Saccharomyces cerevisiae S288C: one gene and its partners. The gene in region 3 interacts genetically with the main gene of each other region. Each region holds a gene or a part of one and is shown on either strand. Other genes may lie near its edges. The genes, in order: FHL1, YAL064W, BER1 and FCF1.

Region 1 (5,707 bases), on a different chromosome or scaffold from region 3:
GTTCAGGTCAAACATTTGCATATGGTGTTCTAGACTCTAACTATAAATGGGATTTATCCGTTGAAGATGCTTTATATCTAGGTAAGAGATCTATTTTAGCTGCTGCCCATAGAGATGCTTACTCTGGTGGTTCTGTAAATTTATATCATGTTACCGAGGATGGTTGGATATATCACGGTAATCATGACGTAGGTGAACTATTTTGGAAGGTCAAGGAAGAGGAAGGATCTTTCAACAACGTTATTGGCTAAATAGAAGCATCAAACATATGTATATGCACATCTATATTAATGATACATTATTCTCTTCAAGGATCCAATATGGCTTCCCATAGAATTATGAAGGAAGTCCAGTTCTCATGTTTCCAATCATCACATCTATATATTTTTATATAATTATATCTTTAAGTATTGTTCGGTAATATGAGGACAGACGCCATCAATGCAAACAAAAAGTGAAACCCGAAATCAAACGAAGTGAATAAGTAGTTGTAGAGGCGACCCGATGGAAAATTTTGTAAAAATCGAAGACTGAATCTCAACAACGCAAAACAGAATAGGACGCATAGATTCATACCTATTACTATGGCTTGATCCGATCTATCTTTATGAAAAGATTTATGCTTCTACTTCGAATATGCTAATACTATTATCGAAATTTTTTAAAGTTTTTCCTCAAGGGATACATTTACTTCAGTGATACCCTCGTTGATATCCTCGCTGACCTTCCGCCTTTTAGAATCATGACCTTCTTCGTCGGTTTTTGAAATCTCGCGATTATCATTGCTACTATTCTCGTCTTTAGATGGAATATCATCTTTAGATTCGTTGTTTTTAATACTTTCACTATCGATCTTTTCGTTTTTGTTGTTCTTTTCATCTACTTCGCTTCCACTATCACTTTCGCTTTCGCTTTCACTACTAGTGCTGCTATTATCGCCGCTTCCACTAGCACTACCGTCATCGCTACCACTATCGCTCTCGCTTCCGCTCTCACTACTGGAACTGCTACTACTACTAGTGCCGCTTTCACTTTCTAAGTCGTTGTCCTGTGCAGGCTTAGGTTTGGGTTGTGCATCAACATTTTGAGAAGCAGCCGCCGGAACTGACGTAGCTGCCACAGAGGATGTAGCCCTAGCATTTTGTCTCGGTTGAAAAAATCGAGACAAGGACGAAGGATCAAACGATCCCGGTTGTTTATCATGCAAGTAATTATTGGGATGGGATGATGCCGACGCAGATAACTGAGATGGAGGCCTATCTGGTACATGCGGCGTCTGGACTATTGGTTGGCGTATCGGTTTGGAATGCTGTGCCTTAGCTGCTAAAGCCGCCGCCGCTGTAGTTTCAGGGTTCACTAATTGCTTTACCTCACCTTTTGTGACTTTTGCAGTTGCCGCGTTTACAGCAGCTGCTAAAATTAGATTCAAATGCTGAGGATTCTTGTCCATCAAGGCTGTAAGTGGATTACCAGTAATCCCCTTGTTTTTTGCCGCTTGTGTAACCTGATTTATTGTCATAGCTAGAGCCTGCGTCAAAATTGCAGCGATGACCTGCTTCGATAAACCCTTTCTATCTCGTGTTAAAATGACAAGCTGTTCCTGCAGATATTTCATTGTCCTTTGATTATCACTTGCTGTATTTTTCCTGTTCGAGGCGGCTCTGTTTGCTGCAAGAGTTTGTGAGATGTTTTGTTTTCTCGCATTAACGTTAGATCTCTGCGAAACAATATCTTTTTTGCCCCTCTGCGGCACTTGCTGAAGTTTGTGCTGTTGCTGTTCAAGTTTTAATTGTGCAGCTTGTGCCTTTGCCACAGCTATCTCACTTTGTTTCTTTTTCTGTCGTTCCCTCTCTGCAATATATTCTTCATCAAGACCCCATAACCATCCTTTGCCTTCTTTAGAAACCTTCCTGAAAGATTTATTTAGCGATAAGTTGTGTCTTACCGAGCTTTGCCACCCATCAGGACAGTATTTATAATAGGGGAAGAGTTCTCTTATTCCTGCATAAATTTCAGATAAAGACATTCCCTTGGCAGTCGAGTACTTTCGTATGCAAGTAGTTAGCATAGCAGAGTAAGATACAGTAGGTTTCGTTCTATATTCTACTGGAATCTCCTCCAAAGTATATACTTTCTTTGGTATTTTCGGTGGCTTCTTTTCTTTCTTAACAGCTGGTTTGGTCTGCGCTTTCTTGGGCTTTGCTCCAGTTGTAATCTTTTTCTTAGATTTGGGCTCGTTTTTTTTGAGATTTCTTGTATTTATTTCAGATTCTGCTATGTCAGCGTTTTCTGGGCTTTTGCTATCGTCGTTACGTTCTTGTTCTGGTAAAATAAATTGAAATGGAATTTGTCCAATTTGAATTTTTGTCTTATTACGAAGTGGCACAGTATTTCCTTTTTCAACGAAAATGTCATCCACAAAAGCACCATTCTTCCCTATTATGGACAATTCGAACCTTCCTGTCCCAAAATTGTAAAAAATCTGGGCGTGTCTCCTCGATATTGATTTTGAAGGACCAAGATTAACGTCAACTTTGTGGGAGAAGTCATTCTCAGACCTCCTTCCGATTATTGCATGTAATGTTTGTACATAAAATGTGAAACTTTGAAAGTCCAGCCTTGCATAGGCGAAGATAGTCGGTTGTTCATTCGGTAGCGGTAAACTTGCATCGATTGGCTCAGATAGTTTTCGTTGGGTAGTTTCAGCATCTGTACTATTATTTTCCGTTACAGTGTTTTGTGGCGGTTGTCCCACTAATTCATGCTGCTGAAACATTATTGGCGTTATTGAATTGTTTCTCATATGCAGCATGTTGTTTTTTTCATCTACTAATGTTGGTAGGGTCTCGGTATCTTTGTTTACTGATAATTTATGCACATCTGTGTATATAGCATCAGCAGTGGGTTCATCCTTTTGTATACTTGTATCTTCTGAGTTCCTTATGCCTTCAGTTTTCACTGCTGCTGTGTTATCTTGAGTTTTCTCCCTTTCGTCCTCATCAGGGTTTACTGGCTCTATATTGATATCTTCTTTTGATGAAACCTCCCTGCTGTGATCATGAGTTAAATCGATGTTATTTACAGGATCCATGGTGTGGGATAACAACTCATTTGAGTTGAACAGAGCTTCATCATTTTTTGCATCAAATTCCAGTAGCTTCGAAAAATCAGCGTTATCAAGGTTATCAGGTAATTCAAGTTTCAAATTTCCATTATCGTCTGTAACAGGATTCTCTACCTCGTTTTCAATATCAGTAGTCGTGTTTTGAGGATGTTTTTCCTCTGTTACTATATCAGAACTTTTTGGTAGTTTTGTTTCAATCGGTACCTCGCTTGTCGGTGAATTTGTTATGCTTTCTTTGGTTTCTTGGTCTTTCAATGCGGAAGAATCTATAGTAAACTGTGTTTCAGTGGTAGGCGATGAAGTCCCGACATGATTGCTGCTTTCTATTATTGCCATTTCCCCATCCATCTTATTCTTATATTTGTATAGATATGAGTGGGTTTTTGTTTTGAGCGGCTAGACGTTAAATCAGGTAAAAACCAGTACCAGGTATATTATGGTAATAAAAAAAGGAGAAAATAAAATGCTTTCAAATACAAAATTAATATTCGTGATGACCTTCTACAAGAGAAAAAAATGTGCCAATAGAAAAGTCCTATTTATCCAGCCCAGAAGATAATAGCAAATATTAATAGACTTTAAACTAACTCAAAGGATGACAAAGTTGGCCTTAGAGAAAGAGCTACTCCTTTCTTAGCTTGGTGACGGAATATATTTCAAAGGTTCCTTTGTTTATTTTTTATTAACGCTTTTAATTTTTCTTGTCTTAGTCTTCGTAATTTCCAGTTAATCGCAACGTTCAGAATGATAGTATGGCGCTATCATGTTGTGCTCTTTCATAAGAAAAATAAGAAATGTATTAACAGTCAAGAGTATGCAGAAAAGGTACAACAGCCAAGATTATGTTTGCGTTTATATGAAACTACTTAGTATTCAGCTCGTAAAGCTTATGTTATATTTACTGTGTTCTATCAATCTTCATATTTCTAGCTTTAATTCTTTCCTGAGAGTTTATCACCCAATCGAAAGTACCATTGAAGTCATCCTTGATATCACCTGTAGTCAAATCAAAATTGTCATCATCTAAACCGAGAAGCAACACGATTTGTGTCAATTTCAAGAACTTCTCTCTGAGATTATAGTTCAAGCCACACATATTGCCGATGAAAAGGCTCAGTTCTCTATCTAATTTCGTAACACCAAGTTCATTGAATTCTAGAGTCCATATTCTTTGCTCCAATGTTGTTACGATGTAGTCGACTATGACAGATAGCAACTCTGCATATGCTTCGTTGTGAAGAATATTTTTGTAAGGGATAATCAATTGGTTCCATTTGCTATTGAAACTGTTAATTTGCGACAAATCTTCGAAATCTTCTATGCTTGTGATGTAATTCTTTTGGTTCGAACCTGCAGAATAATCGCGAGACACATTTTTTTGATTGGACGTTGAGGAATTTGATGAGGCTGAATTAACAAAAACAGTTCCCAATAAGTTCCGAACCCTATTTTGTAGGATATTTTGGAACAAGTATTTGACAGCCCATTTGCTTAGCTTATCTGTTTGTTCCAGGACTAATTTTTCTGAGTTTATAATTAAATTCTGTAACTGCGCTGCATCATTGTCAAAAGGGAAATTGTCTCTCAAAATCCTTTGCGAATCGTCTTCTAATATTTCTATGGATAACAGCCTGTGAACGTATACTTTACTCAAGTACAACGTGTTCAGATATATCAAATAATGGTGCAACGCAAGAATGGAATCCTCGTCCTCTGCAACTACGGCTTGTAAATTTGATTGAATATTTGTCAAAGCGCTAGCTGCTGCCCCTCTAAAAGTGAACCTGCTTAGCGGAGAAAACTTATTTGCAGGTGGAGAAACCGATCTTGATGTTGCAGATTGCTCCTCACCTTTTGGAATGTATCTTTTCAAAGATACATTGGAGGCTAGTTTCGATTGTAGTAACTTAAATTTGTTTTGCATAAATTTTACCAGAAATCGGTTCTGAAAAAATTTTACCAACTCGTTCAAAAAACTTGCTAAGAGCTTAAACTGGCCAGTATTAACCACTGATATCAGATTTTTCCGAACTAATAAAATTAAGTCATCTAAAACAGATGTTACAGGGTATGAAATGTTATCGTGGTCATTGAGGGGAACAGCAGTTATAAGATCGTTCAGTGACGGTAATTCTTCTAGTGAAATACTATTTCTAAATGATCTCTGCAGATGGTTCAACACAAACACCTGAAACTCATCAAAGACCTTATCTTGCTTTAACTTTAAGGCAAATTTACCATCTGCTATTGGTGGAGGTGGTTGCAATACATGCGGATGCAAATCGCTAAATTCATTCCATTTAACTGAATAAAATCTAGAATACATGGACCAATTTTGAAGTATTTGAGAAAATTCCATTATCAATAATGCCAAGTCATGAATGGATATAATTGAGCTCTTTTCCGTTTCTCCGTCTGTTTCGATATCCGACTGATTACTGTCTATATTCACATCTTCATTCTTTTGTGAATGTTCCCATTCATTTATATCATGTATAGTCCTTTCTATTTTCCTCGTCTCCATAAAAATATCTAGAATCAAACTAGCTTGAAGATCAGCTTCTTTTTCTACTTTTTCCATGA
Region 2 (3,451 bases), on a different chromosome or scaffold from region 3:
TCAGATTAGATTCCGGCCATATTTCTGACATTTGTTTTATTAATAAAAATTTGGCGAATGCTTTGATAACTGCTGATATTTCATTGTTGAAAAGGCATGATATAAGATGCACAAAGTATATTATAACTTATTATCAGAGATATAGGAACAAAGAAAAAGGGAAATTCATATCTCTATGTAAAAATACCATTATTTCCTCTTCTGTTTAATATGCTGTCCTTAATTTTCATGTTACATTATCAACTTTTGCATTTCAGTGTCCATTAGATCTTGGGACCATTTCCTCAATCTTCATGTCGTCTTTTCACACCGTATATAATATACTAGTAATATAAGTACTAGTCGATAGCTCGCAGTTGAGTCTTATTCCAACAGTTAATGACTCACTGTGCTTTCTGTTGCTGTAGAATTTCTGAGGCATTGTCGCTCTCTTCTATGTGATGCTACAACGGAACTAGGCTTCTTATATATCGTGGTCCTACAAGATCTTGGTATCTCGTTTGCTTACTTTGAAGCTTCACTGATATATAGTACTTAAACCACTTTTATGTTCATGGATAATCGTAATTGTACTACGCTGGTACCAGTTATGAACCCTATCAAATCATCATTGAACACTGCTATTTTTAACTAATCAAGATATATATGCGGCGTACTTTATAATTTCACGACACTATTGAAAGCAAACTAAAAATCAAGTAAATACCTATCCAAGTTGCGGGCTCTGGATTTATGTGGCCTTAAATTTTCGACCTATGGTTCGCTATTCAATATTAGAAAACCAAAATTAGGTACAAGTACTGATTGCGTCCGTGATTTGAAGAGCAGCGTTAAAAGATTACAAGATTTTGCGTGTCTTGGCCGACACTTAACTTTAAGCGTCTCGACTTGGTAACATGAGTTGCCAAAAGTTTTTCTCTCCAATCTGAATATGGGGAACCGGAATCTGTCTTTGACCTGACTTTCAAATTGTTGCATATGTAAAAAAAAAACAGAAGAAATATTATCTTGTCCTTCTAGCGATGCAAAAGGATTCATTACAAATCGTTGCAAAGGCCGAAAAGTTGCAGTATATTCGCATTGCTTATTTGAAGTACGTTTGTATACACATCGATAGTATTCATTAACACCACAACGGCTGAGTATACTATGTCAAACAGCACAATAAAGCCTGTCTGCGATTTTTTCCTCTACGTTCAAAAATCTCATTCAAGGCATAATCCCATATGTTGAAGATCGCTACCCATTGTTACAGGCAAACTGAATTTTTGGAAATGAGCTTGTACTTAGTAAATTTCTCTTTGCTTGCATCTTTTTCTTCCTTGTCAAAAAATAAAAGATACTCATTTTAAAAGCGCAGCCATATTGACTAAGTAAGTAATTATAATACTATGAGTAATTTTTGAGTACTGTGCTCATTTATTAGCTGCTTTTCTGAGAAAGATCCTCGATAATCAACTCCAGGTTAGTGGGGCGCTTCTACGGTCTCTTCTAACCAATTGTTCCCCGTGAGTTGCTTTCTCCGAAAACCTTATTATACATTAGGGTTATAAGAAAATTTTCTTTTTCCCGTAGATTAACTTGCAATGCCGAACTTCTAGATGTCACACCAGACCGTTTGACACCGCCATTTTCCTTCCTTTTCGGAAAAATGTGCCGATAAATGGTAAGACGCGACGCCACCGCTGCGAATATTGCGCTTATGATGAAGCAAAAGGAAAAAGCAAGTTCCCCTTAAATTCGTATAACTGTTTCATCAATCTTTAGTTCTGGCATTTGAAAGTTAATTAAACTTTTCTTCGTGGTTTCTACAGGAGTTCTGCATGTGCGTAATTCGAAGCCTGTGAAGGAAAAAGTATTGTCCTAAACAACAGCCGTAGAATACGTCAACTATAGTTTAAAATATTTTCTGGCTCTACCCGGTGCGATAGGTCTGGCTCTTTTCTATTTACTTTTGTTTGGAGTTGTTGAGGCCGATACCCGTCTAGATGTAAATATGAAATAACAGTTCGAGGTTTTATTACGAGAATGGAAAGGGTAATGGATTGGAGCATGTGTAAATGTCAATAGCAGAAAAAATTTACCGCAAATTGTTTCGTAGTCTTATCTTCATCGGACACTCAAGGGTTGCATAATTTTTACCCAAAGGAACAGTATACTTTTTTAATAAAAAAATCATGTTACCTATGGAGTATTGTAAGCATTTTCAGAAACTCGTCTTTTGAGTTCTAAATGCATCATACAACAACAACAATTTCTTATTACTGTGTCCTTTTGGGATTTTTCAGCCTTCCTGGCTTACCCAAAATAGCCTCTCAAGGTGAAAAAAACCATGCCTGCAAGCGGATCTAAGGATGAGTAGCTGGATTACAATAAATCCTGAATTTTCTCTGAGTGTCAACTTTGTCAGCGCTTGTTAAAGGGCTACTACGCTGAAAAAGAACCTGAACCCCGTTAATAGGTTGACGATTTTATGACTTGGTATGCTATTCCATACGGCGGCTCTCCTGATTGCGGTGGGTCATTGCTATAACAGTAAAATCAAGGAAGATAACAGGAAGAGTAACTTTAGTACAATAAATCTGTTGTCTACCGAGGATTATAATTGTTCGGCTTTCACACTAAGTTGAAAGGGGACTCAGGAAATGACAGGGTACGTTTTAGTTTCTTCAAATAAATCTTCCACACCCAGCTTCAATGTGGTAAACGGGGGAAAGTTGATTAGTTGATGTTGACACGTATATTTAACTGATGTAGAGAAGAACAACATACTACTAACGTCACAGTCAATTGTGCCAGTTTTCCAATCAAGATAATGTAAAAGTAATTGATATATGTTCGTACTGGTTTCCCAATTTCCGGGAAAAACTGTGTACATGGGTGCAATTCCTTGTGGTTATTTCCTTTTAAGTTATATTGCCAACCACATCATAGTACTATTTGCGGTCACTTCAGAAGATATGTTTGCTCCTTTGACCATGATATAGACCAGACCAACTGTACCGCTTCAGACTTCAGAGCATTAGGAATAAGCACCACTATTACACAACCATAGAGCTACTCTTACTGCCACGTAGGTAAAACACTTGCTACTACACACACTCGTAGTGACTCATCTGACTATATTACCGGTTGTTAAGAGGCACCAGTTCAAGCACGCCATCAAGAGTACCGAATAATCTCTTCTGTATCAAGTATTCTACCTTTATGTCTGACCCACGTATTATGTGGAGCAATTACGTATTTTTCTCATATCAGCTTTGTTTTTACTCAACTTTAATATCTTAGAGAAACAGATCTTGATGTTACAGCAAGGTCAAGAAAATATTTTGACAAAAACATACTAGTTTCATCCTTAGTAGTTGGTTCTATGAATGCTGTACTTGAAGCTATTGTTCATAAAATCCTTAAGTTTTACCAACGGTATAATATCCTGCTATTAAATCTGCAA
Region 3 (3,947 bases):
TCGATTATCATTCTTATTATAAGCTAAGTTGGTCAAGATGACCTGTTTGACCTAAAGACAAGCACTAACGCAGGCACCGCACTAGTACTTAAGTTTTCTTACGTGAAAAGGAAATATGGGTGATATGTGTCTGTTCCACTCATATCTTTTGGTTTCTAATTTTACGTAATCTCTTGTATTTTCTTGAGAGGGTAAATTTTCACGACGCGTCAGACGCTTATATGAGGGACGAAGTTACATATTTGAATGCATTAATCAAGAACAATATTGTTGAGTAAGCGAATAGCTACCATTGTTCGCAGTTCTAGGATCGCTAAACAGAAAAGGTTACTCTCCACGTGTTTAGAGGGCTACCCACAAACCGTCATAAATCATACCTCCTTCTTTGACGAGCGTATTGCGCCGTTCGAATGATTCATTCCGCCAAGAACTAAATGAACTTCAGGTTTGGGTCTTTCCACTTTCTTAACCCAACCATTCGTTTGCGTCCTTTTTGCCCCAACCTTGATCTTAAAAAATTGCAAGAAGAACTTTATTTATCAATTCGCCCGCGAAGTTAAAAAAAACCGATCTTCGCAGGCACTCGTTAGAACTTAGAAACAGTTCCTCTTAGGGCAAGCGCCCTTGTCGTATTTAGCCTTCTTTAAGTTGAGCTGTAACGTTGTTCGAGTCCGAGAAGTATCCTTGACAGGGACGATAACCATCAGCAGGAAAAACGGTATTTTCATTTATATCCTTTCCTCGAGGAGGGCTTGAATTATGCAATCTCTAAATACTATTCAATTCAGAGAGTAGATTTTTGTGGGCAAAGTAGACGTCGCTCTCTTTCAGTATACGTTCTTGAGCTTTCCATTTCAATGAACCGGCAACTAAGTTGGTATCCTTTCATGATCCTGTCGAGTACATTTATAACAATCATGTTGATTGTTCCAGTATCATAGATAAAGCGGTCTCGTGTCGTTATTGATGGTAAAGCGTCAGGTTACGATGCCCTGAAAGGTTACAGTTTAGTTATAAAGTACTATGTAGTGAATGATATGTTAGTACTCTATAGCATGTAACGTCAAGTCAGAGAAGGAATTGATCCAGGGTTTTTCCTTCAAATACTTTCCTTCATCAAAATCGGTGAGTATTTGGCAGGACTTAAACTTCGGTGCTATTGAATCATAGTCTATATCAGATGGTGTGACCTTGAGTTTAGAGGAGTTGTTTCTGTTTTTTCTTTTTCTCTTTGGAATGAATGTTGCAAAACCATCTACATCATGTGCTTTTTTAACTTCTGGCGGAGCGTTAGTCTGCAAGTAATGAACTAGCTTGCTTAAATTAGGATAGTTTTCACAAAGTTTTGCTTTGGTGTATCTATCGGTGTGTGATATCATATTATTTGCCAGCCATAAGTGTGGTCGCTGTGACGATAGTATGTTCTCAGTTAAATCCAAAGGAGCATGGGGAAGGAAATATAATACCGATTCATAATCAATTGCATCGTTCTCTGAAAATTCTTCCTCTATCAGCCATTTGCTTCCTAAACTTTTCAAGTACTGTATCTCTTCTTTAGTAAATATTGGATCATACAGGGAAACAACGACATCCCTTTCATCCTCACTTTTTATATAATCAGTAATCTCTAGGAGAAGAGCGAATTGGTACGTCGCAGGAAAATCCTCCTTGAAATTTCCAATTGCAACACATCGTATTTTCTTAATGTTATTGAGGTGCGGTTGTAAATTTTCAAGTAAATCTGAGAGGAATGCTGATTTTTTCAGAACATCTCTATTTGTCTGAACAATTTCTTCAAACGCTTTAGCAGGCACTACCTTCTTGCCAGTTTTCTTAAACTTTGTCCCACTTGCTTTAAAATCCATACAGCAGAAGACCGGTCAAGGTCATTAACTTCGGTATCAGTTCAGGATCTTAGCAGTTTTCTAGAGTTCAAATAAGTTTTCACTTTTTTCATCGCTACACGTCGAGCAAGCATCATTCCTTACCCGACCCGCAGATAGTTTACTTCCCATAGAGCTTTTATTATAGTTTTACATCAACTAAGGATGTTCAAACCGTCTCGTTTCCCAAATATGCAGTCATGGAATATGAACACCTGGTGGTATTAGCTATTTATTTTTACACGAATAATTATTTGTTATTTAGCAGTCGTTACAAATAGTAACTTTTACCAGCTAATTATGAAAAAAATGAGGAAGGCGTCAATTTTTGAAACAAACCTCTCGGCTTTCCTCTATTCATTTTTGTCTTTCTACAAGCAGCATTTGCGATCATCACTCTCTTTATCATAACTCACTGTACCCTGGGCTGATCCATTAGCACCCAATGAGCCTAGAGGTTCATAGCAAAATATGAAACGACCAACGATAGCACCTATTAAACAACTAATAATGATATAGCCGTTATAGTACATGAACAGCAGCATGATGATATAAGATAACCCCCACTGTAATACGAAAATAGTAACTCTTATCATGTGATCCAAAAAAGTTGGGTACAAATCCACTGGCGTTATTAATGTACAGCATGATAGGACCTTCTTTAACAGGTCGTCTTCTGGCTCGTTCAATCTCCTTGGACCCCAAACGTAAAAACTATAAATGAAACTTTTTTGTAAGGAAATTAAAGTTGTTTTCCAGCTTGGTTCGTTGTAAAAGCCTTGTAGTTCTTCTATATCAGATTTAGCATCCTCTTCTCCACATTTGACAACGTACTCCTCTGGCGAGTAACTAGCTAAATGCTTTATTTTCTGTCTTTTTAATAGCTCTACGTCAAATTGCCTTGAAAAACGAGTAAGCCATTGAGCTACCACCACAAGCGCAAAACAGCCGATGCAAGAACCAGCAAATTTTCCTTTGGTGTCATTTCTCCAAGATCTGGCAATGAAGCAGGTGTCAATGGTATACCAATTCCATAACATCGATATTTTACAAGTCGCTTTTTTGGCAGCAGTGCTGCTACTGCCTCCCATATTCATCTTTGTATAGCCCTTAAATGTGTTTTCGTCTGTTGTTATCCCTCTTCTTCGATCAAAGTGTTAGGAAATGAAATAAGATAAATTACAAGTCTATCGGAGAAGTGAAGAGAATGTGGATTTTGATGTAATTGTTGGGATTCCATTTTTAATAAGGCAATAATATTAGGTATGTAGATATACTAGAAGTTCTCCTCGAGGATTTAGGAATCCATAAAAGGGAATCTGCAATTCTACACAATTCTATAAATATTATTATCATCATTTTATATGTTAATATTCATTGATCCTATTACATTATCAATCCTTGCGTTTCAGCTTCCACTAATTTAGATGACTATTTCTCATCATTTGCGTCATCTTCTAACACCGTATATGATAATATACTAGTAACGTAAATACTAGTTAGTAGATGATAGTTGATTTTTATTCCAACATACCACCCATAATGTAATAGATCTAATGAATCCATTTGTTTGTTAATAGTTTAAATGTTTTTATCGGAAGAGGTTTTGTCATCACATCAGCAATGTTCTTCTTGGTCTCGATGTAGTATACGTATAAATTATTACCTGATACTTCATCTCTAAGTCTCATTGCCTTTGTGCCAAAAAATCTGTTTCTAAATTTCTCTTCATTTGTAGACTTAATTATACTGATCGTTGATCTACTATCAGTAAGTAAGCCTTTAATAATTGGTTTCTTGTTAAGTTCTTGCACAAGGTGACTGAGGTTATTCAATAGCGGTATAGCTTCACTGACTGCGTGTATTTCTGCTTCTGTAGTTGAAGTGCATGTTAACGAAGCCTTTGTCGACTTTCCTCCAATCACTTTTCCGTTGAGTAGGAAAATGTTACCAATTTGTGACTTGTAATATGGTTGGTTACCATATGAAGCATCGCTTATTGCGACTAGTTTATTATCTGGCTTGGTAGGTTTGTTTTTGTGCCATATTAATTGTTTATCTCTA
Region 4 (3,727 bases), on a different chromosome or scaffold from region 3:
CCTAAGTGGCCCACAGTTAATGAACATACCATAGGGAAAATCTGTTCCAATAAGAATGTGAAAATTAGAGGGAAGGAATAAGATGCCAAAACTCTTGCTTCTGATTTGAAGGTGACGTGGCTGTGAGCCAATTCTGCTAGTGCCTCAGAATCGTTCTCGTCGATCTCTTGGTAAATTGTGGGAACTGAGCCTCGGCTAGTCACAGATACGAATGATGGTCTTCTGTGATGTGAGGTGCCTTTAGCGTCTGTTACCGCACTTCGAGTTAATTTCTGTTTCTGAGCTTGGAGTCTATTCATAAATTCGTCATATTCTAGTTCTCTTCCAGAATATTCTTGTATTCTATCTGGTGTGTTGCTTTGACTTGCTTCCTCATTATCAGAGTTGCATACCGATGAGTATCGTCGTTCATGTTCATGTAGAATCCAATCAACATCTTGTGGCGAAAGCTCAGGAGTTTCTGATACCCTTGATGGTAGAGAAATCGTTCTGCTCAGTTCGCCATCTTCTTCATCATGATAGTAAAGGTCAGGTTCCTCATCAATATTACCTAAGTACGGATTTGGTTCATGGACGTTACTTCCAAAATCATCTGTTAAAGATCTGAAACTCCTCTGATCAATATTTCTCGTTCTTGCACGAAATTTTCGTACCAGAGGATTCTTCTTGTTGGGAGGTAGGAAGCCTAGCGATATCCTCCTGTGAGTGTTACCGATACCCATACCATTTGTTCGGAGGGAAGGATGCACTTCTGAAAGAGTCTTTGACAAAATTCCAGCCATTTTTTCAACCTTTTTTTTATCCGTATATATTAAGGTATGCTATATGTGTATTTTCCAATGTTTAGTTTTTATAATAATACTTCTTCAGCATCAAATATGCTTGCTTATGTAAAAATACAATCAAGTTTTGTCCCTTGCTTGCGCGAAGATGAAAACTTCCTTAAGAAATATTCTGCATCGCGTGGAACCCATGGAAGAGGATAATAGCTGACAGTGATATTATGAAAAGATGCCAAATGGTTACCGTTTATAACTGTTACTGGTCGCGTCTCAAACGCCCTCTTTTTTCTCCTTGCATTTGCGTTTCTTTAGAGCAATTATTGAGTAAATGGTCTTGAAAAGAAATAGAAATATCCTTAGGCATTTCAGTTCATCTGAAAACATGCTCCAATACGGGCAAACCATGAACTTGTTGTTATGAAATTAATATACATATAAACCAAAAACATTGCACTACATACTTAAAGAGTGAATACACAGTAGTTTAAAAGACATCTGGCAATTTTTCAATGACGTATGCGTGACCGCCTACGCTCATCAAAGGAATTCCAGGGATTTTTCTAATTCTTTGTTTCAGGCCGGCATCGTTTGTAGCTACGATGTAACACTTATGTTGTAAGACTCGATGCACTAAACAGTCATCCGCGTACGTACCCTTGTGCGAACAGCTTAGTCTCTTTATTCTAGGATCTCGAGCCAGTTTCAAGGCGATACGGTACTTGGGGCCCAATTTTTCTAACTCTGCCATCACACAATCTGTGATTAACGGGTTACATTTTGCGAGTAGACAGTCCATCATTCCTCTAACAATATCGACTTTTTTCTGGATAGAAAAATTTATAAAATTGGTATCTATCAGTACTTGATAAGGTGGCTTTATAGCTTGATTGTATTGAAAGAAAAGTGCACTTGATACTTGTGGTATATTCCTGGTTAGCTCAGGGTCTTCTTTAGTTTTGATATTTTCCTGGTTTTTCTTCAATCTTTGGTCTTTCTTGGTGTTCAAAGTTCTTTTTACGAGGCCAAACTTTCTTGTTTTCTTAGCTTTACCCATAATTAACTGTTGTAGTATATCGATATTTCCGTTACAAGTCACTGTTATTGTGTGTTAATGCACAGTAATGTTTAAAGAGGCATCATTCAAGAATAGTAGCAAGCTGAAAAATTTTAGCCGTTCATAATGATACCTTTAGAAATATGCCAAATTTTTTTGTTATATCTTCCAGTAGGAACCGATAGTTTGAGTAATGTTTATAAAATCATTGCAAGTGAATAAGCAATTAATGGCAATAGTCCACAAACGATAGGTACATGAAGGTGGCTCACAATCAAAAAAATCAAGCTTTAAAATAGTGGATGTAGAAAAAATAAAGTGCGTCACAGACAGGATTCGAACCTGCGCAGGTAAAACCCAATGCCTAATTGCTTTTCTGAGGAAATAGCAGGCATCGCCTTAACCACTCGGCCACTGGGACTGAAACACTTTGAAGTGAAAGTGTTTCTAGTTTTCTATATCATTACTATGGTGAAAATCTATATTTTCTTGATTAGGAATAAAATCATGGAAAGAAGTGTTGGAATAAAAATTCACTATCGTCTGTCAACTAATAGTTATAGTATCAATATACTATCATATACGGTGTTAGATTATGACATAAGTTATGAGAAGCTGTCATCGAAGTTAGGGGAAGCTGAAGTGCAAGGATTGATAATGTAATAGGATAATGAAACATATAAAACGGAATGAGGAATAATCGTAATATTAGTGTATAGAAATATAGATTCCATTTTGGGATTCCTATATCCTCGAGGAGAATTTCTAGTATATTCTGTATACCTAATATTATAGCCTTTATCGACAATGGAATCCCAACAATTATCTCAAAATTCACCCAATTCTCAATTTGATAATTGTTGGGATTCCATTGTAAAGAAAATCGGTATTTCTACATTATAATATTACGATTATTTCTCCTTTTGTTTTTTATGGTTTTCATTACCCTATCACATTATCAATCTTTATATTTCAGATTCCATTAAATTTGATAACTTGGTTGATAGATGACAGTTAATTCTTTTTCCAATAGAAACAACGAAGACTTTTTTCTTACTTTTTGTTGATGTTTTTCAAGTTCTGTTTGACCCGTATTTTTCTACGTTAAAATCGTGATTACTTTACGAATCTTGTTTTCTTATTTTTTTTCGATCTATTTAATGAAATGTGGACAATGGCCCCTAACAAAAAGATGGCAAGGATTGAAATAATCCGTTTATACAATTTATATCCAATTATAGAAATAAAACACATTTGAAGAATGGCTTGGTGGAAAAGTTTATTACATTCTTTCTACGGGAGTTAAACCTAACAAGCGCATACCGTTGTATAAAACTTGTCTTGCAGCACCATATAGAGCCAGACGGGCAGTTGCTAATTCTTCAGTTTGACCAGCAACCCATAAGACGTCATAACAAGAAGAAACCTGGTGAGTCAATTTGAATAAATATGTGACCACGGTTGTTGGCTCGTGGGTTTTGATTGCATTTCTCAAAACATCGGGGTATTGGCCTAGCAGTCTAATCAACAGTTTTGCGGCAGGTTCTTTTAATAACGAAAAATCGGCATTTATCCATTTTTCTTGGGTGATACCAGAAGCATTTCTTTCAACTGATCTTAACCTTGAGTGAGCATATTGAAGGTATGGACCAGTGTCACCTTCGAATGAAAGCATTCTTTCCCATTTAAACTCGTAGTTGTTGATACGCTTACCTTGCATATCTTGAATCATGACGGCAGAGATACCAACTAAATCGGCAACTTCTTCTGGATGCTCAATTTGCGCGTATTTGTTCTCATTCTTTTTCATAACTTCGTGCATTTTTTCCTTAGTTTCCTCCAAGATATTATCTAAGAAGACAACAGTACCTTTTCTTGTTGACATACCTTG

The links.
Region 1: mutations in BER1 (region 3) and FHL1 together harm fitness more than expected from each alone (negative genetic interaction), as found in Saccharomyces cerevisiae (one large-scale study listed by BioGRID).
Region 2: mutations in BER1 (region 3) and YAL064W together harm fitness less than expected from each alone (positive genetic interaction), as found in Saccharomyces cerevisiae (one large-scale study listed by BioGRID).
Region 4: mutations in BER1 (region 3) and FCF1 together harm fitness less than expected from each alone (positive genetic interaction), as found in Saccharomyces cerevisiae (one large-scale study listed by BioGRID).

The regions. Positions count from the first base shown.
Region 1 is NC_001148.4:732,962-738,668, forward strand, and holds FHL1 (Fhl1p), read right to left. Parts: upstream 3,473-5,707; coding exon 662-3,472; downstream 1-661. Other genes in the region: PRE2 (proteasome core particle subunit beta 5), read left to right, coding at 1-251; Golgi transport complex subunit COG4, read right to left, coding at 4,023-5,707. UniProt on the Saccharomyces cerevisiae protein: Acts as a transcriptional regulator that recruits coactivator IFH1 to the promoters of ribosomal protein genes. Recruited to ribosomal gene promoters by RAP1.
Region 2 is NC_001133.9:19,153-22,603, reverse strand, and holds YAL064W (uncharacterized protein), read right to left. Parts: upstream 1,039-3,451; coding exon 754-1,038; downstream 1-753. Other genes in the region: YAL063C-A (uncharacterized protein), read left to right, coding at 1-209.
Region 3 is NC_001144.5:946,286-950,232, reverse strand, and holds BER1 (Ber1p), read right to left. Parts: upstream 1,866-3,947; coding exon 1,041-1,865; downstream 1-1,040. Other genes in the region: high-affinity Cu transporter CTR3, read right to left, coding at 2,255-2,980.
Region 4 is NC_001136.10:1,148,685-1,152,411, forward strand, and holds FCF1 (rRNA-processing protein FCF1), read right to left. Parts: upstream 1,837-3,727; coding exon 1,267-1,836; downstream 1-1,266. Other genes in the region: YDR338C (uncharacterized protein), read right to left, coding at 1-782; YDR341C (arginine--tRNA ligase), read right to left, coding at 3,119-3,727. UniProt on the Saccharomyces cerevisiae protein: Essential protein involved in pre-rRNA processing and 40S ribosomal subunit assembly. Required for the early cleavage steps of 35S rRNA at the A(0), A(1), and A(2) sites.